Linked DNA regions of Oryzias latipes. The protein of the gene in region 1 purifies or fractionates together with the protein of each later gene. This does not show direct contact. Links are inferred from orthologs where the notes say so. Each region holds a gene or a part of one and is shown in the gene's direction. Other genes may lie near its edges.

Region 1 (8,829 bases):
GTCTGAACGGCTTTTAGAATCCAGGGCTCTGTCGTCCCGCACTCCATAGTTTTTAGTAGTTAGGGGTTATGGCGGGAATTCAGACACAGCCCTAAAGTGAGGAGATGAGGACAACTTTCTTTACTGGAACACGGCGGTTCACTCTGAGAGACAGAGGAAGGATTTCAGAGATTCCTGTGATTTTATGTTAACAATACTGTTATGATGTTCCTGGGTCAATTTGACCCGTAACATAACAGGAGGGTTAACAATACTGTTATGAGTTTTTGTGATGAATATCAGATTATTAATGATGAGTTCCTGAGAAACTGCTGTTGTTAGTCTGAGGTGTTTTCCTACACATTATTGACAAACAAACAAACAAACCAAACTGTGGCTTTTTAAGCACCAAAAACTTGTGTTTTAATGCAACACCCCCCTCCAAAAAGAAGTTCCAAAAAGTTTTCATCGATCTGCCTGCTGCCAACAGAGGGCGCTGCTGTCCGCGGCGCCCTCTACCGCAGGATTCGAACCGCGCACCTCCACCTCCTGCCGCCAGCCTGCAGGAGCCAACCTGCAGCTCTAAGGAGTTAAGGCGGAGGTGCAGCCGCGCCGCTGATCCGGAGCTCAGCCGGGCTTCCGGTTCTGCTGTTCCCATCTATCCAGCCCCGCAGCCTCCGCGCTGAAACCTGAGGCCCGCGTGCGCGTGTGCGCGAGAGCGCCGCCCACTCCCTTCTTAAAAGGCGGCAGTTTGACAGCTCAGAAGTTACTCAGCAGGAGGAATCAGACCGACAGCTCCAGCCTCCGCGCGCTCTCACGGCTGTCACGCGCTCCCAGCCCCGCGAGTGTCTGCAAGCCGCGCGCACCTGAGCAGACCCCTCCAAGCTGGATCCCCGGAGCCCGTCGCCATGCCTGCCCGGGTTTAGGTTCTCCATGGAGCTCTCCAACCTGTACGAGGCCGCGCCCCGACCCCTGATGAGCGCCCTGACCCACGGCCAGCAGCCCCCCTCCGGCTACAGAGACCTGGCGGAGGTCGGCGGGGAGATCGGAGACACCGAGACGTCCATCGACCTGAGCGCCTACATCGACCCGGCGGCCTTCAACGACGACTTCCTGGCGGACCTGTTCCACCACAGCGCCCGGCAGGACAAGCTGAAGCTCATGAGCGGGGAGTACGACCAGTGCGGGGGGGCCCCGCAGCAGCTCTACATGTCCAACTACATGGAGTCCAAGCTGGAGCCGCTCTACGAGCACAACCCGCCGCGCCTGCGCCCGGTGGCCATCAAGCAGGAGCCGCGCGACGACGACGAGCTGAGCGGGGGCATGCCCCCCACCTACCCGCACCCGCAGCAGTACCCCTCGCAGCCCCAGCAGCCGCAGATGCCGCACCTCCAGTACCAGATCGCGCACTGCGCGCAGACCACCATGCACCTCCAGCCGGGCCACCCGACCCCCCCGCCGACCCCGGTGCCCAGCCCGCACCACCACCACCACCACCACCACCACGGGCACGCGCAGCAGGGCAGCATGAAGCTGCTGGAGCAGCGGGGGGGCAAATCCAAGAAGCACGTGGACAAGAGCAGCCCGGAGTACCGACTGCGCCGCGAGCGCAACAACGTGGCTGTGCGCAAAAGCCGCGACAAGGCGAAGCTGCGCAACATGGAGACGCAGCAGAAGGTGGTGGAGCTGAGCGCGGACAACGAGCGCCTGCGGCGGCGGGTGGAGCACCTGACGCGCGAGCTGGACACGCTGCGCGGCATCTTCCGGCAGCTGCCGGACGGATCCTTCAAGCCGCTCAGCTGAGAGGCGCGCGGGCTCTGGGATGGAACTGAGCTCGTGCCTTTTCCGCGCGCACAGGCAGATAAGCTCGTTTTTGTGCCTCATCCAACGCAGCTAAGCGCGCACGCAGCCTTTGGAGCTGTCCGCGTGCGCCTTGAGCCTGCAGATGCGCACGGACTCTCGAGCGCGCGTGCATGACTGAACTCTGATTCTGCAACAAGTGAGATTGGACTGTTTTCCTGCGCACAGACGCTCCGGTTTCTCAAACCGAAGTGTCGAAAAAGTGGATTAAAACTGGAATCGAACCCGCGAGGAAACCGGAGCCGGACTGAGTGTCCTCGCGAAGAAACCAGGATCACAGAATCTGGTTTTTATGCAACAACCAGCGGTGCCTTCTGACCCTCTCTGATGACCTTTGACCTTCGCCTGATCTGTTCAGTGAGGAACAGGGCAGCACTTGTTTGTTTCAGTTGTAAAATAAGCCTATATATAAATATATATGTATGTATGACAGAATATATGTACAAAAATGACCAACATTCAGAAATATTGTAATAAAAAACTGGTTCAGATTCTGGCTTTTGTCCTTGTTTTTTCTCTGGAACTAAACTTTCTGCTCGTCTTTTCTGTCACTAATTGTCATTTCGTGGCTCGTCTGCTGCTGATTCTGACAAATCACTTCCTGTTTTCTTCTGTGTCAATTGTCACTTCACATGTCGGACAAACGCGCAAACCTTGTTAAAACTCGTTTTAAAAAGATAATCTGATAAAAGATCCAGAAATGGACTCCCAAGAAGCATCTTCAAAGAAAAGTCATGACATTTCATTTTCAAAATAAACTTCTGATCCTTTTAGAGACGTTTCAGACTTTTGCTGCTGATGGACAAGAAAACAGGAAAGCAGCCAGAGAAGCAAGCAAACTGTTTGGATGTGAAACATGTTCTGGTTCCACAGGCTGGAGTTTGAAAAGATGAGAAGCATAAAGGATGAGAGGTTTCTGTCCTGGATGGATCTGCTCTAAACGACATGAAGACCCTGAAGGAGCTGCAGACACGTCTGCTGAATCCTGATCAAATAAAATCAAGACGTTTCTGCAGAAATGCAGTGGAGGTCGATTCTGACGCGCTGAAACGCCAAATGACACCAAAAGATGGAAGACATGAAAGGAGATAAACATGATTAAATGAGGAATTCATGATCAATAATTGCAGAAATGATGACAAATGGCGGCAGGTTAGCTCAGGGGGCAGAGCAGGTCGTCCAACAACCGAAGGGTTGGAGGATCGATCCCCGCCCTCCCCAGCCAGCTGCCCCCCCCCAGCAGCTCACCGCTCCCCCAGGGGAGGGGTCAAAATGCGGAGAAGAATTTCCCCGTTGTGGAATAAATAAAGTATCAATTATTAAATGCAAAAGAATTTAACTAGAGGCTTAAAACTAAAGTAACATCTTTATAATAAACTACAGAGAATAAAACGCTGAAGCCGAGTTAGACAGAGAAGAAAAGAGAAGAAGTGAAAAGAAAATCCAAGAAGGTAAAAAGAGTCATGAATAGACACAAACAAAGATGTGAGACTTTATGCTGAAAAGTCAGATCAGACAGAAAATGCTGCAGGGTCGTGTCGGGAAGGGCATCCGGCGTAAAACCAAAGGTGTGGATCCGGGAAATGCCGAAAGGTGAGCTACAAAAATAAAAGCCTAAAGTTCTCCAAAGGAAGCACTTTAATTTGAAAATCCCCGATGATGCGGGACAATACTAACGGGGTAAAAAACCACAATGGTGGCCGAAAAAATGGTTGAAGGAGAAATCCAGAGCCGCTGAACGTCAATCATTTATGCAGCAGCTAAAAGTTTGTCTGTAAACTTTATTTTGGTAAAAAAACAACATAAACAAACTAATCCTGAAGAATTCTATGAATGTTGCTAAACTGAAATAACTCAATCGCTGGACCACCTTTAAAATTCTGTTTTTTCATTTACAGTTTTCACCTGATGTCTTTTTTCTTTCAGTTTAAAAAGACAAAGTTGGAAAAAGTTGATTGGAGGCCGTGACAAACTCAAAGTAATCGACAAAGTGAGGCGTTTGCACTGAAACGCTCCTCACCCTGACAGTCGGCTTTGGTTATTTTCGTGTTTCTCAGAACCAAAACTGCTCGGATCGACGGCGTGGCGGCGGTGGAGGTGGACTGAGTCGAAAACGTTGCTGCTTCCAAGCAGCAGGTTTCCGGAAAGTCCTGTCCTACAAGGCAGAACAATGAGCGCATCCATCAGAGGAGGAAAAAAAAAAGAGTCATGGCTGATTTGTGAGCAACAGACAGCAAACATGTGTTTGGAATAAAAGCTGCTTTCTGGAAGCAGAAGTGAGACCCCCGCTCCCACTCCGGACTCTGGTGTGGGTTTCTGCTTGGCGTCAAACGCCAAAGGACCTCGTCTCACCTTTAGGTGGATTTCTGATCTAAACAAATGAGTCCACAGAATTCCTGAAAGCACGTTGTGCACGGCCTGCAGGGGGCGACGTGGAGACCAGAGGGTCAGTCAAAGTTATGCAGGAAACTATCAGATAAAAGTTTTTCCCGCCTGATAGTGACTGTGAGCCTTTTATCTCAAACCAAAGACTTTTACTGTTTCTAGAACTCTGAAAATCCCTCATTTAAACTCAAAAGTTCACAATGAGCCTTTGCTGAAATAAACATGTCAGCAAGCATGAGAACGGCGTCATCCAAACTCTGCTGCCTTTCTGCAGGCCGACAAGAAGCGGCTTTAACTGAAAACGGAGCCAAGAAGGTTGTGGGTGCAACTTTCAGAGCTTTTATTCTGAAAGGCTCCTGCTGAGACTCACAAAACGCAGCAGAAACCTTCAGTATTTGACTCTAAAACACATTTTACTCCTTTTTTTAAATTTCAAAACAGATTTAGTGACTGAAAGTCGTTGAGGGGACTTCAGTCACATGTGTAGAAAATGTTGGAAAATTGTTTTCAGCTGAACTGTCCAAAGACCAGGAAGACGGAACAAACTTCAAAAAACATTTAAAACGCAAAAGAAAGAAAATGGAAAACGGAAGATTCAGCGAATAAAAGCCTAAAGCCACGAAAATCAATCAGAATAACTGAGGTGAACTTCAAAGTCCCCTCAGATCTTTCTGTACTGACTAATCATGACGCTATTGTTCTACTACGACAAAGATGATGTCAGAAAAATACTTGGAATTTTATGAATATAAATATGGATCATAATTGGTCCAAAATGCTCATTAACTCTGACGACCATGAAGCTCCTGTCACCGGAACAAAACGTTTGGTGACAATAGCTTCAGCATCTTCAGAGCTATTGAGCACATCTATTATGATTGATATCTATTATAATGTGAACAAATACATGCAATAAAATGTTGATTGTAGCATGACCATGCAGACAAGTCTTCATTACCAGCTCATAGAAATGTAGACATTTATTTATTTTGGAGAGATTTTGGATTTTTACAGAAGCTTGCACTTTGTTGACGGTCCCTTGGCAGCCGTCTGGCTGCTCTGTCTGTATTTCCTGCTGGAAGAGATCATTTCTTAGCAAAAAGCAGAAGAAACATCATTTGTAGGTCAACCTCTGTGTTAATACAAAACGATTGAGACTTTTGTCATATTTGAATGTTTATCAGAAGAGTTATTGAGGCCGGAAGTGACCCTTCTGGGCCACCGTACATATCACCTGGAGTGACACCAAAAAGTACTTTTTTTTTTTTTTACACCAACAGTAAACATCGTCTCAAAAATGCCTTCATAGAAACAAATATTGTTAATATTAATATCACAAAAAGTTGTGTTGTCTTTCTGCCTCATTCTGTCTTTCAGTGCAGCTTCAGCAAATATGCAAAATAGCGATTCTGAGAATAAAAATGATTAGAACCAAACTTATAAATTGCGTGTATAGAACAGGTTAGTGGACACACGTTTATTTTAGTATCAGTAGGCTTTACGTGTCATGACAGCAGGTGAAGCCCTGCCTGTCACCTGCCTCTCCAGACCGCACTTTCCTGCTGGAAACGTGTTTCAACCAGGAAGTCCAAACTTCAGAACCGATCCAAACCCGCGCAGATGACGTCCATCCACCCAAAGCAATTTAACCCGCAAAGTCAGAATAAGAACCACCCTACTGAGCGGGAAACCGATGCTGCCTCCGCTCGCTAGCTCACGAGTCTCTGGACTTGCTGTTGTCTGGAATGTACCATTGCTGCAGAAGGACGGGGGGACCAAGCACTTTTACATGATCAATATTATGCCAGTTCAGTCATTTGGCTGTTTTTTATATAAAATGATGGATTTAAAACTTATTTTAGACATTTTTACTACTGTAAGTGTTCAGCTCGGGGCCCCCCCAGAGAGTTGGGGGCCCCAGGCGATCGCCTACCTTTGCCAAACGGTAAGTCCGCGCCTGTCAGGTGAAGCTTTAGTCCCAGTTGTCCTCACGGGTGGATACGACAGCATCACCTGTACGTCATAAGTGCGAGAGTCTTCCATTATCCCTACAAATACTTTACGACTCACCTACCACGTGCACAACAATGGTACGCTCCACTTTCATGACATCTCTAAGGCGGCCGTACGAGCCTCAAGGGACATGAAAGACACACCTGCACTCTCCTTTAGATGCAGCCCCTCCTCTCTATGACCCTCCACGGACCGGACCACCCCAAAACCAGCAGAACCCGTAGGGGTTAACCCCCCCAAACGGGTCATGTGACTAAAGCTTCACAGAAACCTTAGAATCAAATTCAGCATTTTCCATTCCGTATTTCTACGTGAGGAGAAAGGAGCCAACACCAAAAAACAAAGCAGAACCACAGCATGAATAAAGATAATAAATGGCAGCTGATCTCTGAAAGGCGCTGTATTAAAACCAGGTGAGGTGGATGCAGCATCAGCTGGGGATTGTGGGAAAACGACAAAAAGAAGGAGGAGAGCAGGCAGGTTGTTAGGAAGCAACAAGCAGCTGGCAGCGAGTCTGATGACTTCCACATGTTCCCAGCAAACCCAAGTCAGTCTGATTCAACGTGAAAGACATCCCTGAAAAACGCCACCAGCTCGCCGTTCAAGCAGAGCCCTGAGGGGGCGGGGCCCTGAGGGGGCGGGGCCTCTGTGCTCCTGAGGGTGTGAAACCAGAAGAGAGGCCCCGTCGTCCTTGGAAACGGATCCCCCCCTCCTTTCACTGCATTCGGTCATTCTGGGTCTTTTGTTTCAAGCAAACTGTAGGGTTTTGTACAAATGACAGAACCAGAACCTCCAGGTTCTGAAATGACCCGTGGAAACCGGAGGACGGTCAGTCGCATCGGGAGCAGCAGCCAGTTAAAGGAAGTTGAAATCTTTGTTGTTATTGATCAGACTTTCAAAGTTCCACTCCGATCTTCTTCTGATCAGTCGTCATTCAGGGATGATGACCGGAATGATGGGCGGAAATCCAAAAGCCGGTGTCGTTTTCTAGGACCTAGTTTCTGCAGAGCGGCAGGAGTTCAGTAGAAATTCACATCTGAGTTATGACTGTTGGCGTGGAGTGAACCCGCCCTTATTTCCCATCATCCCTCTCCCACTGGCTTACAGCCCCTCACACCCCCAGGTCCTCACTTCACGTCTGCCGTTCTGGTTTGGCAGAAATGTTCTCTCTTTTCCTGAATTGACTCAGGAAAACCTGAAAGCTGAAGATCAAACCGAGGAAAAGTAAAGAACGCGGGTCGGGAGCTGAAGCAGAAACCGCAGACCGAAGGTCCGACCTGAAGAGCAAAGTCCTCCTTCCTGCATCTCCACGGCGTGGGATCAGGAGCGGCGTGCGTGACGACAGCCGGACCCTGGTGGACCGTCATGGTGAGAAGTTGGCTGCCGTCCTCCTGCGGATGGAAGCCATTAGTCTTGCAGCTGGAACCTCTCCTCCCTCCGTTCCCTCCTTTCTGCCTTATTTCTCTCTGGTTGCTTCTGGCCCGGTTCAGGCCCGCTTGGCCGGACCTCAGGATCCTCTCACACGGCTCGGTGAGCCGCTTCCAGGGTTACTGCTGACAAATCGCTGTCATTTTGCCGGTTAGGATGTAATTGGCTGCAGAACGTTGAGTTGAGGTTTGGACGGATCGTCTGATCCTGCAGTTACAGAAAAACTGGACTCTAAATCAGGTTTCTGCTCTCTTTATGAGCATTAATGTTGCTTTTCACAGAAATAAACAGATGGGATCCAGTGACTCGTCGCCAGAAACCTGCAGGAGGTTCTGAGAAGTTCCCAGGATTCTCAGAACCTGGACTCCGGCCCGTTCAGGCTTCTCGAGACGCCGGGAGTCTTCAGGACTGGAGGAGCAACCAGAGCTTCAAGGATGTCTGAGAGGAAGACTGGAGATGAGATGAAGGTGGTTAACGTTTTTCAGGATCCAGCTTTCTATGAACAGCAGCTGCAGCCAAAAGTCTGCTTTTCAAAAGGTCGGAGAAACAAAAACATCAGAGTCCGGAAGCCTCCTTCAGAATGTGCTGGACACCCGACACCATGTCCAAAGCCCCTCAGGCAGACGGAAAAGGGTTTCTGGTTTGTTCTTCTCATGGAGGAACCCGGTGAGACCAGGAGAAGTGGAGACACCTCCCAGATGTTTAGGTGTTCCCAGACAGAAGGAGGACCTCTGGACGCTGGCTGGACTCTCCTGGAGGAAGGAGGAAGACCTGACCTCCTCTGAAGGCCGCTCCACGTCCTGAGGAGTCTGCTGAGGAGGTCAGGATGAAGGGGGGCGGGGCCAGTCAGACCTCAGCAGCTGGATCTGTCAGCTGTTGGGGGAACATCTGGATCTCAGAGGGTTTCTGAAATGTGAGGAAACTTTCAGCTTGGCTCATGAAACTGCAGAGAACATCCAGGTGAAGGTGAAAACCCGGAGCTCCTCCCCTCGTCTCAGAACCGGATCATGGAGCGGTGATGGACGGAGAACCTGAGGCTGTTGGGTCATGAAGGTCTGTGTTGCTGCTGGAGAACACAGACCTTCTGGGGTTTTAGGGAGGATTTCTGGTTCTGACCGTAACATTTACAGCCCAATGATGAGTTTCAGGACTAAAGCAGACCCG
Region 2 (11,440 bases), on another chromosome or scaffold:
AACGGAAAATTCTCAGAGGTAAATTTCTAATGAACTCCTGCTGCTCTAAAGAAACTATGTCCTAGAAAAAGACTAAAAAGGGCATAATTATAAATAAAAGACAACTGGCAACCCTTTTAAAATAGATTAAAAAATGAACAGAGTGGGACTTTAAGGAGGAAAAATATTTGTAATCACTTCTTTTTAATGTAAAAGTAAATTAATGAATAAAAGACAGTGTAGGAATTAATATTTACAGAGCAGGGTTTACGGTTAGCTGCTGAGAATTTTTTATTTAAAAAAACGATTTAATGGATTCTTACTGATCACTGATCAAAAGTGAAACCAACACAACTGATGTGAGCCATGCATTCACTTGCAGACACAGTGTTCCTTTTGCAACACAAAAGTGAAGACTGCAAACCTGAATTCTGCTGATTCCCCCTCCCTCCGAGCCCGTGGGAGAAAATTAAGGTGGCTTAGAAAAGACTTGAAGTGTTTAGGAGGCCAACTCTGGACAGTGATGAGTTCAAGTTGCAGAAAAAGACTTCACAACACAGTACAGTTCAAATGGTAGATTTGTTCAAAAGCAAATTAGAAAGGAAATGATTCAGGAAACACCCAATTCTGAGAGCATCTGCTTTAAAATCACAACAAGTGTCATTTGGGCCAACATAGCAATCACAAAAAAAAACTTAGAACGCTTAGAGGTCTAAGTTTGGTGGGATCAATGATGTTAGTTTCAGATAAAAGATGTTTTGTACATAACATCCTGAAAAACACGGAGAAACCTGGAAGATGAAGACCTGCTGGAATGATGGTTTCTGGTCAGCATTCTAAATTCTCAAATTTACCTTCTCAGGTCCCTGGAAGCAGATCCGGCACTGCGGCGTCTGCACTCCTATTTCAGAGACACTCAGGAGAGAGGCTCCATCCAGGCCCCCTTTATGGTATTTGGCTCCTTCTGCATCCTCAAAACTGACACTGATGGGTTGTGGGTCTGACCCATAGTTCTCCCCATCATCGTTTTCATCATCATCCAGACGAGAGCAGCTAATGTGTGGCCAACCACAGCTGCCGAAGGCCAGCCCCCTCATCCTCGACGGTGTGTCCGTACCTGTCCCTGCGTCAGTCCTGCTGGGTTCAGAGCTCATCAGTAGCAACACCTTGAAATCGCTGAAGAACATCCGGATTTCAAACTTGAACATGCTTCAGCAGCTTTAACGTACACAACTGCTTTTTTAAACAAAACAAGCTCCAGAGGCTCCTCTCTCTTTCACATTATAGTCAATATATTGTTTTTTTCTTCTGTTTTTATGATCATTTTTAGTGAATTTCCTCCATTCAAGCCCAGAGAGCAGAGCTGTGATGCAAAAAGCATGTGCAGGACATGATAGGCTGTTAGATCAGCTCTTTGCATATCCTGTTGTTATAGCATGTGCACTGCAGTCCAGCCAATGGGGAGGGACCATTCTTCGGGGAAATTATGTCGGGATTTAATGGAGCCACTAACGTAAAAGTCAAGCGTCTTCCTCCTCATCAAATCGTTTTTATGGATGTAAAAATGATTAACGGTTTTCTTATGTGTCAATAGTGAAATAAAACTGCTAAAGGTTGATAACAAAATATTTCTTCTTTGTCAAAGACCGTCTGAAGCTTGACATTCTGTCTGTCAAGCTGTTTTTGTTTGAGTCAAAGGAAGTAATTGGAGACGAGAGCAGAAATCTGCGTCCTTTGTTGTCTCGCAGCGGCATTCATCAATTCACAGATCATCAAAATCCTGCAGGTTTTATTCCCGCTGCCGGAAGCAGGTACAGCAGAACAAAGTTAATCATCCAGAAGAAGAGGAACAATTTAATGGGGGGAAAAAAACCCCGTCTCTTCGCCACACAGACCAGGAAGACAAAGAGAGTCGCTATGCAGATTCCTGCAAACCTGGGATGCGCCCCCGGCGGAGTTGCTGCCCCCCGACGGGATCCTCACACGAAATCCTTCATCCTCCTCTGTGCTTCTTCACCGAATCACACGGTGGCCTCCGGCAACGAGTGGGACAACGAAGTGCCACTTCACGTGACTGACTCCAGAAAGGTACCTGGTTAGGCGGATGTTTTTCCTTCCCTACAATTTTGAATTTCAGAACAGTTTGGAGCATCTTCGACCTGGAATGTGAACTTCATTATCAGTTTCCCCGTGAATGCTCCTGGGATCCGAGCAGATTGATGGGGAAAGAAAGAGCTCCATCCATAGAAGGCGCTGCGCCGACTGTGGCTGCTGTCCAAGGTGCTGATATTCCTGTGACGTGCAGCCCACGTGCTCATGCATGTTTATCCCAGAAAGGAAACAGTCGTTAGAGACCCACTCCGATGGAAATCGCCTTTTTGGTGTTTTTGACATGTTCGTGTGGCATTTTTCTCACGATGGAGAACATATCATATAGAAATTAAGCTTCAAATTGCATTTTTGAGTATTTCTATATTTACATCTATGTGAATCAGGAGCAGACGAAAAATGCCTTTGAAAAAGAGCTTATTTGTGACGTAGTAAACACTTCCTGCTTACTACTCTGCTCCATTCTGATGCATCAACTTGCAGACAAGTAGATCCATGTAGATCTTCGTTTTCTCGTCCGAGCTGGCATCTGTGCGGCTGGATAGCTCTGATATTGCTAACCACTTTTGTTACAAAGGTAATGTTAGCTTGGTGTTGTGAGGGGCTGTAAGCTAGCTGAAGAGAAAAGAGTGTAAAGGGATGAACGATTGGAAAAGGGGGCGGGCTTGCTCTAAGCCAACAGTCCTGGCCACAACTCAGAGATGAATTTCTAATGAACTCCTGCCGCTCTGCAGAAACTATGTCCAGAAAAGAAACAACAGTTTAAAAAAAAAAAACTTTGGTTAAAAACGGCATAATCATAAATAAAATAAAACACTGGGAACACTTTTACAATGGATTAAAAGATAATCGGAGTGGCGAAGGTTTTGCGTGTGCAAACACTTCTAAAAGTACTTCTGTTCAGGAATACTTAGAAGTGTCGCTAAACACTAAGGTCACATGTGTTGTAAAAAATATAACTAAAATGCAGAAAAAGCATGAAGAAAGATTATTATGCAAATCTTACATCTCCCGTTTCCCTTGTTTTTCTGCCTATTACTATATGTATGTAAGGGTGAACACATGTTTGTTTGTTTATGGGATGGTACAACATCTACTTGTTTATTATGTGGTTTATGTGTTTTGTGTTGTCTTACATTCTTGGTTTCGTCAGTATCAATAAACTCAAAATAAAAAGTCAAAAGAAAAATATTAATCTTCCTCAGTATTCAGTTTGTTTAACTTCTGACATACATTCAAAAATCAACGTGTTTTTTTAAAATTATTTTTGGTTGCTGTTATTGAATCCAATTCTTTTGTGAAAGTCTGTCTTTTTATTTTGGCTTATGCGTTGTTGAAGATTGGGTGTTCTACTTTGGGAGCAGATGATCGTCCGTCAGTTTCAGATCCGTTTCCATTAGAGGTCTTCTTGTTCCAGACCACATTGCAGATGGGTGCTGTCGTTGTGGGTGGTGTCCTTCAATCCTCATGCCCTACCACCCTCTATTTATTTGCACAACCAAAAAGTTTCCTTGACAGCTCAAGACACTTAAAGCCTTTTGACTGGTTTTATTTTAACTTAAAGGTTTTACTTTATGCCTTGTACTTACATTTTGCACCAGGAAGCACTTTGGGATTTTTTTCTGAAAGGTGTTATTTATATAAAAAGGTTTTCAGCTTCCTAACCCTGTGAGTTCAAGGCCATTCCACGTGGACACCTTTTTCACCTTTAGATACTAGCACCTTTTTCATTTCAAAATAAAACAAGCTGTTGTTTAAGACCCATTTCGAGCCTTGAGAATCTAACGTGTCTAAAAAGTATATGCAGCTTTCCCTTCAGCATGCAGCAGAACGACACTGAAGAAGAAGAGTAAACAAGGGCTATACATAGATTTTCTATGCAGAACAGAGAACACAAACTGTAATGCTGCAATTTTAGATGACCACAAGTCCACTATTGATGTTTAATCACAAAGATTGTGTAGTTACTTTTATACTTAATAAAGATCTTTTAAAACAAAATTGAAAAAAATGCTACTCATTTCCTCAGATTAAGTTAAATTGCGAAACTTTGTAATTAAATGTGTGGTTGATTACAGTGTACTTGTGATCCTTTTTCACATTAGTTATCTAAACGTACATCTTCTTTAGTCTTCTCTTAAAATAATCCAGACTGATTGCCTGAACTGGAAGAGTTTGATCATCTTGGGGCAGACAAAGACCTGTGTGTCTGAAATATTGAGAGGAAAAAGTCCCATAAATGTAGATAAAAAACCCAGTTGTTGTATTTTTCCTGCCTCCAGTGAAGAGCATCCCCTCTTTGGTTCTGCAGCTGTGTAGCACACTGTAAATGGACACACATGGGACATTTATGCCCTTGAGGGTCACTATGATTCCTCCAGAGACAGGGGACAGATCAAACTTGATGGCACTTCTTTTACCAGATCTTACAAAAGTGGCTTAAAGACAGACAACACTGGGTAATATAATAACTACTCCTTTCTGTATATTTTTATTTTTATGACATTATTTTTTTTAATGACATTTTTACTAATTTGAAAAATCAAAATTGAGGAAACTCTTATTTGTGAGTTTAAATATTTTACGATGTAAGTTAGTGAACTTTTAATAAGTTCTGGCTTGAGGTCTAATCTCTTATCTTTTAAACATGCAAAACTGGCATTTTATAGTATTGAATTTACCACATAATGTTGCATTAAATTTATTTTGAACAGAGTTAAATGTTTTATACCTTGAGGGTGTATTTTATTTGTTTGTTTGTTTTTAAAATAGGACAAAATTTTGACCAATTTTGTCTCATTTTGCAATGAATAAATTTAAAGTAAGCTTTTATGGTAACATTAATGAACAACTAAAAACTATGCTGGTATCAACTCTCAAGAAAATATTTAAACTGATGTGCATATATTTTTAAAAATCATGTTTTTACAACACATTTAGCTTTTTATTTAACCCGTTATTTACAAATAAATCATTAATGTTAACATACTAATCTTTACAATACATTCATGAAAAAGAAGGCAGCATACCGTAGGATCAAAATAATTAGAAAACCACATTGTGGACGTCATTAAAATGTTGACATTCACTTAATTTGAAAATCCAAATCACTGAATTAAATAATTTTTTAGAGATTGAGATTTTTAATTTCAACTATTTGTATAAAAGGTTTTTTTTTAACAATGTAAATATTTTCTTTCAACATATTTAATTACATTCATTTTCTAATTCTTTTTTAACATTGATCTATTCAGTTCTCTAAACAAAACCACAGTTTTAACTGTGGTGTAAACAACCACAATGATAGTTTGCAGTTGTGTAAGTCAATGGAGTGAAAAAAAATAAAACACTTCCAGTGAAGATACTCTAGTTTATTGACTTAATTTCTGGTTGAAGAATAGAAAAGTTAGGTATCTTATAAAAAACCCAATCAACCATGATTTGATTATTGAATTACCTAATTACATTGCCTTAAAATGAAATATATGTATTAAAAACCTCTATAATAAGATATAGGCTTTCCAAGTTTATAACATTTTTGTCCATTTCTTTTTTATTTAGTGTAAACAGTAAATCACTGTTTTCTCCCTCTTATGTGAAGCAAGTGGGGTCGTTTTCCCCCCTTTTTTAAATAAAACGGCTTAACAAAAAATAGGTCGCACGAATTTGTGGCTTTTGATAACAAAAAGCTTTTTTTGTTTTTTTCTTCAAATGGTTTGTGGTAAAAACTTAAGCTCCGCCCCCTGAGAAGCTAAAGCAACAGGAAGATAACCGAAAACGAGCGCAGGCTGGAAGGAAAGCGGCGGAGGCCGAAATCTTTTCCACATCAAAGTCGCTGTTCGGCCGTAAACTTCAGCCTGGACTCGACCTGCCACCTCTGACCCGTTCTGCTCCAGATAAACGTGGCAGATCAACGAGCATGCTCGAACTAAAGTGAGCTCTCTTGCCCTTAAAGAAAAAAAACGGCCGAGGTAAGCTTTTTTTATGTGTGACCTGTCGAATACACAAACCTGCGGAGGAGTATGGTTTTGCCGCGTTACGCTTTTATGTTGAACAGATGTGAAAAGTTAAAAGGCGGTGATGTGTCTCCTCCGCCGCTGACTATAGTCCCCCGCTTTTTCTTCCGCCACGTTCAGACCAATGATCAGACACGTGTGTGTGCGTGTGTGAGCTAGAAAAGTGCATGTGGACTGTTTCTGCTGCATTTTCTTGCTCTAAATTAACAAAGGACTGCCACAGAGGAGCACCACGTGTCTGCCCCGGCCTACTGATTTCACATGAACATCCGCCCACTGCTTTGGAGTCACCGGCCTGCTTCTCGCTTGATAAGGCGGGGAATGAATGAGACATGGAGGGCGAACGTCCGGCTTTGCCTATCTGATAATCGATACATTTTTCTGTGATCACGAGCTGCTGTCATGCGCAAACTGGTTCAAGAAGATCCCCTCAAACAACGGCTGTTGGGAGTTTCACCTAGTTTATACTCTGGACTCACTGTGTCTCTCCCAAAACACAGAAATGATTGTTTTAGTTAAAAATTTATAGATTTGTGAATTTTATTTCTTTTCTATTTATTGTATGTTGTTTGATTTATAAAAATAAGTTTTTACATAATTCCATGTACTCTAATCTGGAATAGTATATATATTCATTTCCAAAAAAATTACCAAAAAGCATTTTCCCATCATTTAGGATAAACCAAGTTAAAGAAAAATGCTCCACTGTGTTGGTGCTTTATGCAAAAGTCTCTCAAAAATGTGCTTTTAATGTGTATAAATTGATCTTTTTGCGGCTCTTTTGTCCTCTGGTTTCTATGCTGTAAACAAACAGCAGAGGCAGAAAAACTTGCTGCAGGAAAACGAAACACTAAACGCACAGGAGAAGCTCAGGAAAGTTTTGACACAAAGTGACACAAATGTCACATGTCACTCTGGGGAAGGGATCAATCCAGCCAGGCATCATTGTCAAACCATTCCTTATGTGCAGAGAGAGATTCCTGATTTAAAAACACTAAAGAGCCACTCCAATCATCATTTGATCTATTTTAAAAGCGTTCCCAGTGATCTTTTAATGTTGTGTAATTTTCTAGGACATAGTTTCTGCAGAGCAGATGGAGTTACGGTAATCAAAATTTTTCCTCTGAGTTGTGTTGAGCAAGCCTGCCCTGACTTCCCATCATCCCTTTGTCTGCATTCTGTCTTGCTAGCTTACAGTCCCTCACAACCGCAAGCAGCACAAATAAATGGTGATCATTATTGGAGTTACCCGGCCATATAGCTTTGAGCCAGATACTAGCTCAGACGAGGAAAACGAAGATGGATCTAGTCATCTGCGAGTGGATGTATCTGCATGGACAGAAACAGGGAGCTTGAGGCCCGCCGATTGTATTTTGTATACAAGTAAAAACTTTTTCTAACAGCAGTTTTTGGTCTGCTCCTGATTCACTATGATTTGAAAAAAGAAGAAGTAGTAAAGCAGTTTTAATTTCAATTTTCCTAATATATGTCCTCCAACATGAGAAGAAAATGCTACCAAAACATGTCAAACAACCAGAAACGCTGTTTTCTTTTGGAGTGGTTCTTTTAAAGACTTTTTCCCTCAGTAAATCCCTCAAAAGTGCTGCTCTGGAGTTTGAGGTGTCTGTATAAATGTGAGATGACCCCAGTCTCGTCTCCCAGTCTGAGCATGGCGCAGTGCACCGGTCTGCAGTACGAGCCGGTGGCAGAGATCGGTGGTGGCGCATACGGGACCGTCTACAAGGCTCGCGACATCGAGAGTGGCAAGTTCGTCGCCCTGAAGAACGTGCGCGTCCAGACTGACCAAAATGGCCTCCCGGTGTCCACGGTCAGAGAGGTGGCGCTGTTGAAGCGCCTAGAGCAGTTTGACCACCCCAATGTGGTCAGGTAGGAGAGTTATCACAGGTTTTGTCTCAAATGTTGCCCCCCCTCCACCTCATCAGTGCTTGCTACTTTCATCCAGGCTTATGGATGTGTGTGCCACCAAGAGATCCGACCAGGAAACCAAAGTCACTCTGGTGTTTGAGCATGTGGACCAAGACCTGAAAACGTATCTAGAGAGAGCTCCAGCTCCAGGGTTGTCACCAGAGCGCGTGAAAGTGAGTCCCTGAAGAAAAGAATAAAAACTGATGGCAGCTACTGTTTGGAACTGATTCTCTTTCTTTTTTTGTGTGAAATATTTCTCTGTCTTCAGGACTTGATGAAGCAGTTGCTGTCTGGCCTCTCCTTCCTCCACTCAAACCGCGTGATGCACAGAGACCTGAAACCCGAGAACATTCTGGTGACCAGCCAGGGCCAGGTCAAACTAGCAGACTTTGGCTTAGCGAGGATATACAGCTGCCACATGGCCCTCACTCCTGTGGTAAGATCTGCTGTGTGCTCACGTCTTGATCATCAGCAGCGGTTTGGTTAATGTTGTTTTTTTGAACAATCGCTTTGGAGATGATTATTTCATTTGTTTTTGCTGTCTGTTTTGGCTTCTTTTCTTGGAATAAATCATTTTCAGTTACGACACAACCCTGACCGTTTAACACCAGAATGGTGTCGCTGGCAACACCTAAATAACTTGCGTTTTTTACATACCATAACTATTTGATAACTCACACAATAAACAATCGGCTTTGCTACCATTGAGTGTAAAGGAGAGCTGGACTGAGTGACCCCTCCCCTTCTGGCGTTCCAAACAGGAAGTAACCACTGGCTCCAAGAAGTCAAAATCCCATAGACGTCTATAGAGAAATAAGCAGTCGTTCTGTGTGTCAAAATGACCATTCTTGCTCTGGTACCTTTTTGAACATATTCTTGATAATCCTCCAATTTTTTTTAATGATTTTCTTTTTACTGTAGTTATAAACTGGCCAATCTTGTTCCTCAATAAAAGTAGGCGGTGTCTTGAAACATTTGATTGACAGATTTTGTGTAGCTTGCTTTTAAGTGGTGTGGACTTCCAACAAGCTCGCTCATGATTGGTGAGAGTGGTTTCTATAGAAATGTGGACTCAGACAGACTCCGACCAATTGCTGCTTACTGACAACCCTATTTAAAAAAATAAAATAAAGGCGACTGAACTGAATTGACCTCACTTGGTTGGAGCTGCAAGTAAGCCGTTTCCTATAGGTGACGTCTCACTTACTCTGACCAGTTCTCTTAACGTTTACACCGCATTTGGCAAAGCGCGTTCAAGTGACCATTTCTTATGAGAAATCTTTGTACGTGGATTAGGTTTCAGCGTTCAAAACTCTCGCATTCACGCGTCGTCGCCACACAAGTTTCTATGACCGTTTTTGGGCTCTCTACAAAACGTGCATTATACTGGGCTGAACTTTGACCAGTGAGGGACTCGGCTTTGGTAGCGACATATGGATAGCATCCTTTTTCATTCACCAAAGTGCCAAAAGTTTGAAAATTGATAAGGAATAAGAGCGGAAGTTCTGTGTTAGATTTTAGAGAAGCATACTTCGAGGTCTTTTTTTTAGCTTCTCAATGCTCCCTTTCTGCCTGCCTGTGTTTTTATTGTTATTATTTTTACCTGCAGTAAAACCCTAAACAACAGGTTGTAGACTTAATCCAAGATCTCCAGAAAAACATCTTTAAGAAATGTTTTCTTCATATGTTTGGCCTAAACGAATATGGATCTCTGTGAGACGGGAATATGTTTGTGCTGCAGGTGGTGACGTTGTGGTATCGACCCCCCGAAGTTCTGCTGCAGTCCAGCTACGCCACTCCTGTGGACATTTGGAGCACGGGCTGCATTTTTGCTGAAATGTTTAGACGCAAGTGAGTGACACGAATGACTGAGACTGCAGATTAAACGCATGAGATGAGACTGAAATAAATCCGCTCCGTGCATCATCATATGGAGGTCAGCCAAGTGTGTTTGTCACTTTAAAAGGAAATATCCATGCCCCAGTCCTTAGGAAAGTACTGGATTCACTTCAAAATGTTGATTTTTTTTATTTTATTTATTTGCTAATGAACCAATTTGGCATCTTTTGGAACCAACAGTTGTCTATTTGTAGGAAGGGGAGTATCATAGTTTGAAAAATCAATGGAAGAGTTCTTTATTTGCCTAATATTTCATGTTACTTTATAGCAGTGGGAACTTTTAAATGAGACAATTAACAATAGGACCAATATGTTTTTAAAAGCTGCACAGCTCATCCACCTTGAAATATTAGATTGTGCCGAATTCACATAATATGACAAAGAAAAGTGAATTCCTGTAAATATTTGCTTCTTTTAATACAAAGACGTTGGTAACGCCATTGATAATCCAGATGCCTGTTTTATAATTTCTCACCTAATGGTTTTATTATATGTCCTAAAACATTTTAAACGTTTCTTGCTGGAGGTAAAAAAATAATAATTATTCAAAATAAAGGAAATTTTTAATTCGAAACTGCAATGTTGATTTAAGAAAATAGGGAATAACTTTCCTTCAAAACAATTTTTGTATCTTTTTTTTTTCAGGGAAGAAATGCTTTTAGTTGTTTTTTACTGTAGGATTTCTTGTTTTATCCCACTTTATTTTTGTTTAACTGTTAAAACTGTTTTTCTCAATCAAATAAAACTGTTCTTTCACGAAAATGTAAAATAAATAAATGTGCCTCTAATTGGATTGTGGCAAAATATTAGTTGGTGCTAAATTTGACAGTTTTCGTTGATTCCTTTTTAAAGCTATTAATCTACGGGCAAAAAGCTAAAACCCAACCCTCTCCAGACTTTGATAAAGCCTGCTTCCTCATTCTAAACTCTCTTTGGTAGACCTTTGTTCTGCGGAGAGTCAGAGATGGACCAACTTGGCAAAATCTTCGAGTAAGTAGCAGAAAACTCCACCCGAGGTTTACCAGGAGGATCATCTGTGAAAGTCCAGTTTGCCTGAAAGCATCTTGTCCTTGCAGAGTTCTTGGCTTACCCCCAGAGGAGGAGTGGCCCACTGATGTTACCGTGTCCAGAAAAAACTTCCCCCTTCTCCATGCTCGCCCAATAACAGATTTTGTTCCAGAGATAAATGAGGAGGGGGCCCAACTATTGCTGGTAAGGTTCTGACCTTAAAACAGTAAGACATCCGGCCCTTTTTTCAGGAACTTTAAGACATTAGCAGATAAACGAATCACTTTACTGTTGATTCATGGGTCTGTAAACATAAAGGGCCTAAATCATGCTTTTCGTAAGCTTTTCAGAGTAAACTATATCCAAATATAGGAGGATTTATTTACCTTTTTTAATGAGTTATTGTCGCAGCTCATTTCCTACCCGCAAGTAAGACGACTTGATCTCAGAGGCACCAACTTTTTACCATTTCATGGTGTCAACCATAGAGCAAAAAGTGCTTT
Region 3 (11,350 bases), on another chromosome or scaffold:
TGTAAAGGCCTTCCACTCTGCTGTTCTCATTTGCCACCCTTCTAAAATTGTCTTCCCCCCTCCCGACCCCCCATGTAACATCTTCAAGTTCAAGCTCCACCACTGCCTATCTCTTAAATATATTATGTTTGCTTTATAAACAACAGGCATCGCTACATGGAAAAAACTTTGGACTTAAGTCAGTTGAATGGCTGCAATATAAGTTCAATGACCCACAGGGTTCTATATAAAAAAAACTGAGCCTGATGTCGACTCAAGACAAGTGAGCAAGTCTAACCACTCCTGGCTTCTAAACTCAGGATGCTGGAAAGTGATGTGGGGTCAAAGTGGGGCAGAGGTCAGGAAGGGAGTGGGTCAGGGTGGATGATGTGCTTTTGAGATGTAAGTGGAGAAGTCCATGTGATTCGCACTAAATCCTTCATATTTAGTTATTGTGGCCCCCAAACAAGAATTGAAGTAGATACATTGGTCTGGACTGGACTCACTTTTTCCTGTAGTCGTCCCTCTCCCTCTTGACTTTTGCCAGCACGTTGTACAGCGCCCTCACTTCTGGGGTGATGGTGTCAATTTGAACCCCAACTCCATCTGGGTGCGTCCACGTGACTCCAGGCCCCTGCAGGGTCTCATAGCGCTCTCCTTGCCTCCGGATGTGGGTGAAGCTCCAGATGGTGCCGGGCAGTCTGGATCCGGGACCGTCCGTCTGCACGGCCACCTCGCGGGCGAACGGGTGTCGGTACTGCGGTCGCTGCAGGGCCTGCTGCAGCTGGCTCTCCAGCACTTTGTTCCTCCTCTCCAGCTCGTGGACTTTGGCGAGGAAGCAGCGGAAGCGCAGGTTGAGGGTTTTCAGGACGTGGATGTTGGAGCCCAGGTCGTTACGCAGGGCGCTGGTCACCGCGCCCGAGCCCGCTGGGACGCTGCACACCGGGCCAGGCACGGAGTCGGAGAAAAACAGCGAACTCATGTTGGAATGAAAAGACAATGAAAAACCACAATCCAGCTTTATGCTTTCGTCTGTTTTACAGACAAATAAATGCCATTTTCCTCCGATTTATCCTCGAGCTCCCACTGACAGTGCGCTCCTCCTCACAATGCAGATGCGGGGACGGAGGAATAGTCCATCACTGTCCAGCTGGGTTTTTTTTTTGTTTTTACCCCGCGACGTTACCATGAACCCCTGCAGCCAAAACAACTCCGGGAAGTCCTTTAAGAGCCACAGAGGACAGCATCTCCTGAAGGGACGGGAGTTTGACGCAGGGCGCAATAAGCTCCAGGCGCACTTCCCCTCACGTCTGCCCCTTCCTCAAGAGCCGCCGCCGCCGCTGCTGCTGCTGCTGCGTGGTGGTGATGATGATGACAAGCCGGCTGACTGATGAGGAGGAAGGCCCACCTTCTGTCTCTATCATACCGTCTAGGGTGACTCCATCCGGTCTCCATACAGAGCGGCGAGGCAGGATTTGGCACCGCAGAGCCCTGCCTCCGTGAAGATCAGGTTGCAAAGTGCTAAACTCGGCACTATCACCTACATCGACCCCTCACACGTCCCACCCTCCGCCCTCCTGTGGCAGAAACCGAAAGCAGCGCTCATTTCAAAACCTTAAGCCTTTCCACCAACTGCTGCAGGCTTAATAGATTCATGTCAAACTCTGAAAACAGAGGCAAAACCTCCCTACTGGAGTTTTCATCCGCTCTATCACATTGTGTGTACACAATGTGTCCCATTTTGTCTTCAAGGCTCATCTGTACAGTTAATGTGTGATACATGAAAGGAGATATTGAAGCGTTTAAGGGTTGAAATGGACAAATAAATATTTTTATGGTAAAATGAATGAAAATGGGCTGTTGAAATCCTTTAGAAAAAAAAATAGGTCTCCTCTCCTTTTCTTTTTTGTTTCCCTAAGGACAGGCATGTCCAAAGTCCATCCCGTTCAAATCTCTACTGCCTTGCCTGCTCAAGTTATAAAAGCAACAATATGCAGACCCATAAGCACATTCTCAGAATTACGATTTTTTTTTATTGTGTTCGGCTAAATGTTATTATAAGCTGTTGTAAATTTGTGGCAACAACCTGTCTTCTTTACCTTTAGAGCCTTACAGATACAAACCACAATGGTTTGCAACTCTGAATTACATTATTTGTTTTATTTTCCTGTTCTCATGATTTACATGTAAAAGTTTACAGCGAGCATTTAATGGGGAATAACACTTCAGATTCTGTGTTGACGAAAGTTTTTTTTTCCACCGACAGACTTTTTGGTCTTCAAATTGGAATTTCACTGTAATTTTGAATGCATTTCTCTGAAAGTTGATTTTGGTTTGATTCCTTTCAATGTGAAGAAATGAAAAGTTTCCCATTGGAGAAAAAAAATCAATCAATCGGTTCATTTGCATTTTATGTTATAACGGTACAAATAATGCAAAACAAAGGTTGGCCCTAACACATTTTCACCACACCAAATCTGGCCCTTTTTGCAAAAGTTTGGACACCTCTGCTTTAATAGCATTTTCAGTGGTGTTTTCCTTGTTTTTCCACTTTATACCATAATAGATCTATATGTTCTATTGTTACGTGAAGCCCTAACACTTTTTGTGTTTCTTAAAGTTACATATTGTTCCTGAAGTAGCTGTCCAAACTGGATTTTTGGGTTACAAAAATGATAGATTTGCTCTATTCTATTACAAAGAGGTAAACAGAAACAATTTGTACCTGTACTGCATTGCTTTGACTGTGTGTGCTGCTTCTCTGTGGCTCAGGTGCTGTTTTGTAGGTTAATCTGTTCATAATCCCCACCAGATGGCAGCTATAATGGGCATAAAAGCTTCAGTGTGTACAGGAGTACGGAAAAGAATATGCAATAAATCTTTTCCTGCAATAACATTCAAGAAAGTATATGATTGATAAGGGCATTTGAAGTATTAATAGCTGTTTTGCAAAATCAGTGCCCAGCTGTTTCAAAATGATCTTTATGGTGCATCACACTGAGTAAGTGAAGCAAGTAAGCCAACACATGATCTGCCCTCCAGTTTTCCCTGATTGGCACTGCTAGGTGTTCACATGATGGTATTTGGAGCAGTAACACTACACCGATGTTCAGTTCCTAGTGTGAAGCAGGTGACCCATTTGTGTTATCAGAGCCAAAGGTTTTTTGTGTTAGTTTCCTAAATAGGCGGTGTAGGTACCGGATGTTCTCGGGTTGCCGGATGTTCTCGGGGTCCTTCAGGGTCCTTCCAATGAGTTCTATCACTAGAGGAGACATCACGTGGTTCCTCATGGGAGGAGAGCACCGCCATCTTGGTGAGGTCAAGTTTTGAAGACCAAACCACTTTTATAACATTTAATAAAGAGCTCTGTTTTTGCTTTCAATCACTTCATTATATGAAAAAGAAGAATGGCTTGAAATTGCTTAGTTTTGTTCAGAAATAAAAACTTCACGAGTACCCCTAACTTAACTAGTATTAGACTACTTAGATTTTTTCTATGTTCCTTTATTTTATTTTACTTATGTTTTTATTTATTTGTGTGTTATGTTCATTGTTTCTTTTTTTCCCCTCTATTATGTATTTTCTATGTCAATATGTTATATTTGGCAATGGTGACTGATCTTCGAGGCAATATTGATTACATCGTTATTGTTCGTTGTTAACGTTAATGTCATTGTTAATGTATGATACCGCAATTGTCAATAAAGTTTTTTAAAAAACTTAGCTACGTTAACTCATTGGTCGTGGCAACTTACAGCCAATCAAATAGTGTGACGTCATCATTGGTCGAAGGACCCCGAAGGACCCCGAGAACATCCGGCAACCCGAGAACATCCGGTACCCTATCAAAGTTTGTCCACAACGTTGCAGAGTTTAGAAGTCCACATATTTCTTCAGGCATTAGAACAAAACTAATTACATGTTTGATACATAAATTAATTAATGGATAAAATATGTTAGAATGTGGGGGGAATGCATCACCAATGAGTTTAATGCGTTTAGTTTAGGTAAATCATTGTTTAAAGTAATTTCAATAAAAAAAAAAACCTGATAATTCTTTTTATTTTTAATCAGGCGCTGTGTGGTCATCTTACAGGAAAAGAAACATTTGGGGTCCTTTTGCTTCACGTGCGCTGTCTGCCAACGTGAACAACCATGCCCAAGTCAAAGAGAGACAAGAAAAGTAAGAAATTAAAAGTTTATATTGATGTGTTTGGTATATTTATTCGATTCCAGTTTTTAAAACCTGTTACCGACTTAAAGCACTCGTTTTTCGGTCGTGGACGTTTTATAAGCTAACAAAAATTAGCACAAATGTGTTACGCGATGCGCTGTAAAGCAATCTAGCCACAGGGGTTGCAAGCCAGTTGCCTCTGTGCCGGTCCCAAGCCCGGATAAATAGAGAGGGTTGCGTCAGGAAGGGCATCCGGCGTAAAAATTGCCAAAATAACCATGCGAATCATCCACAACACTTTTGACATACCGGATCGGTCGAGGCCCGGGTTAACAACGACCGCCACCGATGCTGTTAACCTACAGGGTGTCGGTGGAAATTTGACTACTGTTGGTCGAAGAAAGAGGGGAGGCAGAAGGGTCCGTGGCCAGAGAGAGAAGGGAAAAGGCAGGAACATAGGTTTGAGAATAGGGACTCTTAACGTTGGCACAATGACAGGGAAAGGCAGAGAGCTGGCAGACATGATGGAGAGAAGGAAGGTAGATGTACTGTGTGTGCAGGAGACAAGGTGGAAGGGCAGCAAGGCACGTAGTATTGGAGGAGGATACAAACTGTTCTATCATGGTGTTGATAGGAAGAGAAACGGGGTAGGTGTGATTCTGAAGGGGGAGTTTGTAAACAGTGTTCTAGAGGTGAAAAGAGTCTCAGACAGGATGATGAGCCTAAAGTTAGAAATTGAAGGGGTGATGGTGAATGTAGTCAGTGGGTATGCGCCACAGGTTGGCTGTGAGTTAGAAGTGAAGGAGAGATTCTGGAGTGAGTTGGATGAGGTCATAGAGAGTATCCCCAGAGGAGAGAGAGTTGTTATTGGAGCAGACTTTAATGGGCATGTTGGTGAGGGCAACAGAGGTGATGAGGAGGTGATGGGCAGGTTTGGTGTGAATGAAAGGAATCTGGAGGGACAGATGGTGGTGGACTTTGCGAAGAGGATGGAAATGGCTGTAGTCAACACTTACTTCCAGAAGAGAGAGGAACATAGAGTGACATACAGAAGTGGAGGTAGGAGTACTCAGGTGGACTACATCCTATGTAGACGAGGTCATTTGAGAGAGGTTAATGACTGCAAAGTGGTGGTAGGAGAGAGTGTAGCCAAACAGCACCGCATGGTGGTGTGTAAGATGACTCTGGAGGTCAGGAAGAAGAAGAGAGGGAAAACAGAAAAGAAGACCAAGTGGTGGAAGCTACAGAATGAAGAAACTTGTGAGGAATTTAGGCAGAAGTTGAGGCAGGTCCTGGGTGGTCAGGATGAGCTTCCAGATGACTGGGAAACTACAGCAGAGATTATCAGGGAAACAGGTAGGAAGGTGCTAGGTGTGTCATCTGGAAAGAGGAAAGACGGTAAAGAGACTTGGTGGTGGAATGAGGAAGTACAGGAATGCGTCCAGAGGAAGAGGTTGGCTAAAAGGAAGTGGGATGTAGAAAGGACTGAGGAAGGTAGACATGAGTACAAGGAAGCGCAGCGTAGAGTGAAGAGAGAGGTGGCAAAGGCCAAACAGAAAGCTTACGATGAGCTATATGACAGGTTAGACACAAAGGAAGGAGAGAAGGACTTGTACAGGCTAGCCAGACAGAGAGACAGAGATGGGAAGGACGTGCAACAGATAAGGGTGATTAAGGACAGAGACGGAAAGGTGCTAACAACCCAGGAGAGTGTACAGAAAAGATGGAAGGAGTATTTTGAGGAGCTGATGAACGAGGAAAATGACAGGGAAAGAAGGGAGGAAGATGTGGTTGTTGTGGAGCAGGAAGTAGCAGAGATTGGAAAGGATGAGGTTAGGAAGGCTCTGAAAAGGATGAAGAGCGGAAAGGCCGTTGGTCCTGATGACGTACCTGTGGAGGTATGGAAGTGCTTAGGAGAGACAGCAGTGGAATTTCTAACGAGTTTTTTCAATAGGATTCTAGAGAGTGAGAAGATGCCTGAGGAATGGAGGAGAAGCGTTCTGGTTCCGATCTTTAAGAACAAGGGTGACACGCAGAACTGCAGCAACTATAGAGGAATAAAGTTGATGAGCCACACAATGAAGCTGTGGGAAAGAGTAGTGGAAGCCAGGCTTAGGAAGAAGGTGGAGATTTGTGAGCAGCAGTATGGTTTCATGCCCCGTAAGAGCACCACTGATGCCATTTTTGCTTTGAGAATGTTGATGGAAAAGTACAGAGAAGGTCAGAAGGAGCTGCATTGTGTGTTCGTAGATTTAGAGAAGGCGTATGACAGGGTGCCGAGGGAGGAGCTGTGGTACTGTATGAGGTCGTCTGGAGTGGCAGAGAAGTATGTCAGAGTAGTTCAGGACATGTATGAGAGAAGTATGACGGTGGTGAGATGTGCTGTAGGTCAGACAGAGGAGTTCAAGGTGGAGGTGGGACTACACCAAGGATCAGCTTTGAGTCCTTTTTTGTTTGCTATGCTGATGGACAGGCTGACAGACGAGGTAAGACAGGAATCTCCCTGGACAATGATGTTTGCGGATGACATCGTAATTTGCAGTGAGAGTAGAGAGCAGGTGGAGGAACAGCTAGAGAGGTGGAGGTTTGCTCTGGAAAGAAGAGGCATGAAGGTCAGTCGTAGTAAGACAGAATACATGTGTCTGAACGAGAGGGATCAAGGTAGAAGCGTTAGGTTACAGGGGGCTGAGGTGAAGAAGGTGCAGGAGTTTAAGTACTTGGGGTCAACAGTTCAGTGTGATGGGGAGTGTGGAAAAGAGGTGAAGAGGCGAGTGCAGGCAGGTTGGAGCGGGTGGAGGAAAGTGTCAGGAGTGTTGTGTGACAGAAGAGTGCCAGCAAGACTCAAAGGAAAGGTGTACAAGACAGTGGTGAGACCAGCTCTGCTCTATGGGTTAGAGACGGTAGCAGTGAGACAGAGACAAGAGGCTGAGATGGAGGTAGCGGAGATGAAGATGTTGAGGTTCTCCTTAGGAGTGACCAGGTTAGACAGGATAAGGAACGAGTACATCAGAGGGACGGCTCATGTTGCCTGTGTTAGCGACAAAGTCAGAGAAGCCAGACTGAGATGGTTTGGACATGTTCAGAGGAGGGATAGTGGATATATTGGTAGAAGGATGTTGGAGATGGAGCTGCCTGGCAGGAGGGCAAGAGGACGGCCAAAGAGGAGATACATGGATGTCTTGACAGAGGACATGAAGTTGGCTAATGTTAGGGTAGAAGATGTTCATGATAGAGTGAGGTGGAAAAGGATGATTCGCTGTGGCGACCCCTGATGGGAAAAGCCGAAAGAGAAAGAAGATGCGCTGTAAAGCAACTGCATCGTTTCAGTCTAACTTAGAGAATGTATTCTTATTTGTTTTTTATTTTCTCAGTTTCGTTAACGAAAACCACGAAGAAAGGATTGGAGTCGAAGCAGAAATTAATTGAGGAGGTAAGTGTTAGTCACCACACAACAATGATAGAATCAAGCAAAAAACAATGAACTAAAACCTCCTCGTTTGTTTTTATTTTGTAGTTAAGAAAATGCGTGGACACATACAGGAACCTGTTCATATTTTCTGTTGAAAATATGAGGAATAACAAGTTAAAAGATATCCGGACAGCATGGAAGCACAGCAGGTAATGGTGCTCTGTTGTGTTCCAAGTTCCTGCTTGTGTTTTGGTTTTGTGTAGTTTTCAGTTTGCTGTCCTGGCTGAAGTCCACCAAGCTAAACTGGGACAGATTTAGCTCATTCCATCATCTGGGTGAACTGAGATCACATGTTTTATTGTAGCTGATAAAATCGTACACTGAAGAATTGGATCTAAGAAGATTTGTTGAATCTTTGGCCATAACATGGCCTGGAATAAGGATTTTCTAATTAATGATATGGAGGTAAAATGGTCTTAAATGGATTTCAGTGTATAATACGTATATTTTGTGTGTCACTGTGTGTACTAAGTGTGTATTCACGTGTACACTTTAATATCACAAACTTACTAATACACTTTACGCCCAACTCAACAGTTTTAGTCACAGACTTTTTTGCAAAATGCCATGCACTTCAAATTCATGCCAACTTCTTTTTTGAGTCCAGTACAAGTCATACTAGAATCACTATACTTGAGTGAGTCAATCGGACAAAAGGCTTCAATGCTTCATCTGCCCATCATTAACGATCGCCACAATAATTTTATTATCATTTTATTTGATCACTTCTCTGCTCACGGTGCACAATCCCCGTTCTAGAGGGCTGCTGTCTTGCTGGTTTTCCATCTATCCCTCCCCTTGCAGCTTCTTAGTGATGGGACACACCTGATCCAGGTAATCTGCTGTAAGTGGGGCAGATATCTTATTGACAAGCTGAACGCTGGTCCCCTGAAGTTGTGGATTTAATAAGTTTGATCTTAAATTGGTTGGAACTGGAATCAAGGCATTGACTATGGTGACGGCACACGCGATCCGTCCAGTTATTTATTATCCAGTCAATGCGTACAGGTGATACTGGTGTACGGTGTCCCTACGCCACACTTCAGCCACTAGTGATGTGCATACCTAAGTGTCCATGAGATAGGTAGGACGTCCACGTAATCTTTGATTATCTAGTTTTCTCAACAGGATCGAGCCTGGTTGCATGCAACAGGAGTCCAAAGAGCAACCACTTTTCCCGTTAACAGCATTAACAAGCTTCCTGTGGAATGCAGAGGATTGGGGGATTGATTCTGATGTTTGTGTCTAATCTACAGATTCTTCTTTGGCAAAAATAAAGTCATGATTGTAGCTTTGGGGAAAGGAAGTCCAGATGAATACAAAGACAATTTGCACAAGGTAAGCAGATATTGACTGTTTTTGAAATGTATAAATGCAATCCGATCCTCCATACTGAAGAGGTTGTAAGTTTTTACGCTTTTGGTGTGCAGGTCAGCAAGTTTCTGCGAGGGGAAGTTGGGGTTCTCTTCACAAACAAAACAAAGGATGAAGTATATGAGTAAGTGATGGTTTCAGTAAAGCTTCTGTTGTTTTATTGGTGCTTTATGTGTTGATCAGCTAAAGAGTGCTGGCCTTCACCTGCAGATACTTCAGTCATTTCAAAGAGATGGATTTTGCCCGCGCTGGAAACCAAGCTCAGATGGACGTAACGCTGGACGAGGGACCTCTTGAGCAGTTCCCACACTCAATGGAGCCTCAGCTAAGACAGCTGGGGCTTCCCACTGCCCTCAAGAAGGGTAAAAAACACTTCAACACTTGTTTTCTGATGACCTTTGAAAGGAAAATTACAAGTAACCCCTGTTAACCTGAAAAGCTCTTAAAAACAGGAATGGTAGTAAAAAAAAAAAAAAAAACACAAATCTCTTTTAATAAGCAGGAAAGTTTAGTGTTACATGAAGAACAGCCGCCTCAAAAGCCCCCTCAGTGACTATTGGAAACCTTGTCCTGCCAGCACAGCAGGGTTTTATGGAGATACATGGAGGGATAAGAAAGGCAGATAGTGGTCAGTGTATTGAAGTTTGCGATCAATAGAAAAACATCGGGGCCAATTACATGTGCTAAGGTAGAGAGTGAGCCGGTCACACGGTAGAACTCTGGCTTTTGTTATGGTCAAAGAATGACGAGAAACATCTGGTCTGGATGTAGCTGTCCCTCTGTTACAGGCAGCTCTTATATGAAGAGGGATCCGAATCAAATGTGGTTAAGAACTTTGTTCTAAATCCTTGGAACAGAACGAGATGCTGGAGATGGATCCATAACTCGACTAGTCTTCTAGACCCGCTCTGATGAAAATAAGGATTTGGGTGTTTTGAACTTTTTTTCTTCTTATGATTATGAAGGAGATATAAAGAAAATTAAACTTAAAATTACATTTCTGCGAATTTCTTTGTTCAAATAGCTGTGAATCAGGAGCAAAAAAGCAATCCACCAAACCGCTTTTTCTTTTTAATTTTGAGTCAACAATTGCAGCTTCATTTTGAAAATGAAAAAAGCATTTCTGGTATTGACTTTTATTCTTAATTATGCTACAGAAAAACTTCCATAACAGGCTCCCTGCTCTTCTCCATGCTGATGCATCCACTCGCAGACAGATCTGTGTACGTCCCGCCTTAATGAACTCCTGCTGCTCTGCAGAAACTGTCCTTGAAAACGGGAGATATTTGGCAGGGTTTTGACTAGAAAACGCATAATTATAATTCAAAGACCACTGGGAACACTTTTAGAATTGATCAAAGGATGATCAGAGTGGACTTCATCAACAAGGAAGAACATTACTTTTAGATGAAATGCTGTTTGAATTGGACAGCAGTCCTGAAACGCTGCAGTTTTGTGTTGAAAAAGGTTCCCTTCAGTGTCGGTTTACTTTTAGATTTAGGATGGATAACCAGTCAAATAAATATTTAAAATATTGTTTTTACACACATTAAATATGCAGTAAAATAGAAAAGCCTGAATGAATCAAATAATGAATGGAAAACAGGAACATTTTGTCAGCTTGTTTGTTTTGATCTGCCGTATTTCAGGAGTGGTAACGTTGCTGAAAGACTACGAAGTCTGCAAAGAAGGAGACATCCTAACTCCTGAGCAGGCTCGGATTCTGGTGAGCTTCTCAGCGTTTCATGTGATTGAAACCTTTGTTTTTCTGCAGTGAGCTTCAATTTCTATGTTCTGTTAACAGAAACTTTTTGCCATCGAGATGGCAGAATTCAAAGTGAAGATCAAATGTATGTGGAATTCAGAAACAACGGAATTCCAGGGCTTGGCTGGTGAGGAGGAACCAGAGCTGGACGACCATGACGACGACGAAGAGGATGAGGATGCAGAATAGTGGGGATGACTTCACCTCCAAGTCATTCATGCCTGCTTTGAAAAGCAGAGGGACAATTATTTTACTAAGTTCCTGTGCCGCTGTACACACATCTGAGTCCGGACTTCTCTCCGTTTTTAATTTCATTCAATGAAAGTAAAGTAAGCAGTTATTAGCATCAAGAAGTGGTTGAGTCCATGTGATTGTGCTTATGCAAACCGAGTTTTCAATGTGGTTCATCAAAGCTCCCAATAAATGTCTGTTTTCACCGATTGTCACGCTCAGCATTTAAGTGGAAAAAGCTTTTATTGTGAAAATTAATTCCTTACCTGAATACAGTTAAGGAATTTAAAAAGGAAAGGTCCATTACCGTTTATCTCAGAAAACAAATCAGTGCAGAAATCAAGTGAAATTTTCTGGA

Evidence for each region.
Region 2: the proteins of cebpa (region 1) and cdk4 purify together in Homo sapiens (affinity purification with western blotting; 3 studies listed by BioGRID, with this or other methods). This does not show direct contact. The link is inferred for Oryzias latipes from reciprocal best matches to the Homo sapiens genes CEBPA and CDK4.
Region 3: the proteins of cebpa (region 1) and mrto4 purify together in Homo sapiens (affinity purification with mass spectrometry; 3 studies listed by BioGRID and IntAct, with this or other methods). This does not show direct contact. The link is inferred for Oryzias latipes from reciprocal best matches to the Homo sapiens genes CEBPA and MRTO4.

The regions. Positions count from the first base shown.
Region 1 is NC_019861.2:37,779,430-37,788,258, forward strand, and holds cebpa (CCAAT/enhancer-binding protein alpha), read left to right. Parts: upstream 1-719; 5' UTR 720-912; coding exon 913-1,782; 3' UTR 1,783-2,334; downstream 2,335-8,829. UniProt on the Homo sapiens protein: Transcription factor that coordinates proliferation arrest and the differentiation of myeloid progenitors, adipocytes, hepatocytes, and cells of the lung and the placenta.
Region 2 is NC_019863.2:27,217,639-27,229,078, forward strand, and holds the start of cdk4 (cyclin-dependent kinase 4), read left to right. Parts: upstream 1-5,834; 5' UTR 5,835-6,059; intron 6,060-7,766; 5' UTR 7,767-7,773; coding exon 7,774-7,991; intron 7,992-8,067; coding exon 8,068-8,203; intron 8,204-8,298; coding exon 8,299-8,466; intron 8,467-9,771; coding exon 9,772-9,881; intron 9,882-10,868; coding exon 10,869-10,919; intron 10,920-11,005; coding exon 11,006-11,141; intron 11,142-11,440. Other genes in the region: E3 ubiquitin-protein ligase MARCH9, read right to left, coding at 834-1,187.
Region 3 is NC_019863.2:9,134,718-9,146,067, reverse strand, and holds mrto4 (mRNA turnover protein 4 homolog), read left to right. Parts: upstream 1-4,037; 5' UTR 4,038-4,134; coding exon 4,135-4,162; intron 4,163-7,524; coding exon 7,525-7,583; intron 7,584-7,667; coding exon 7,668-7,771; intron 7,772-8,878; coding exon 8,879-8,960; intron 8,961-9,052; coding exon 9,053-9,120; intron 9,121-9,206; coding exon 9,207-9,358; intron 9,359-10,645; coding exon 10,646-10,722; intron 10,723-10,800; coding exon 10,801-10,950; 3' UTR 10,951-11,202; downstream 11,203-11,350. Other genes in the region: iffo2 (intermediate filament family orphan 2), read right to left, coding at 486-961. UniProt on the Homo sapiens protein: Component of the ribosome assembly machinery. Nuclear paralog of the ribosomal protein P0, it binds pre-60S subunits at an early stage of assembly in the nucleolus, and is replaced by P0 in cytoplasmic pre-60S subunits and mature 80S ribosomes.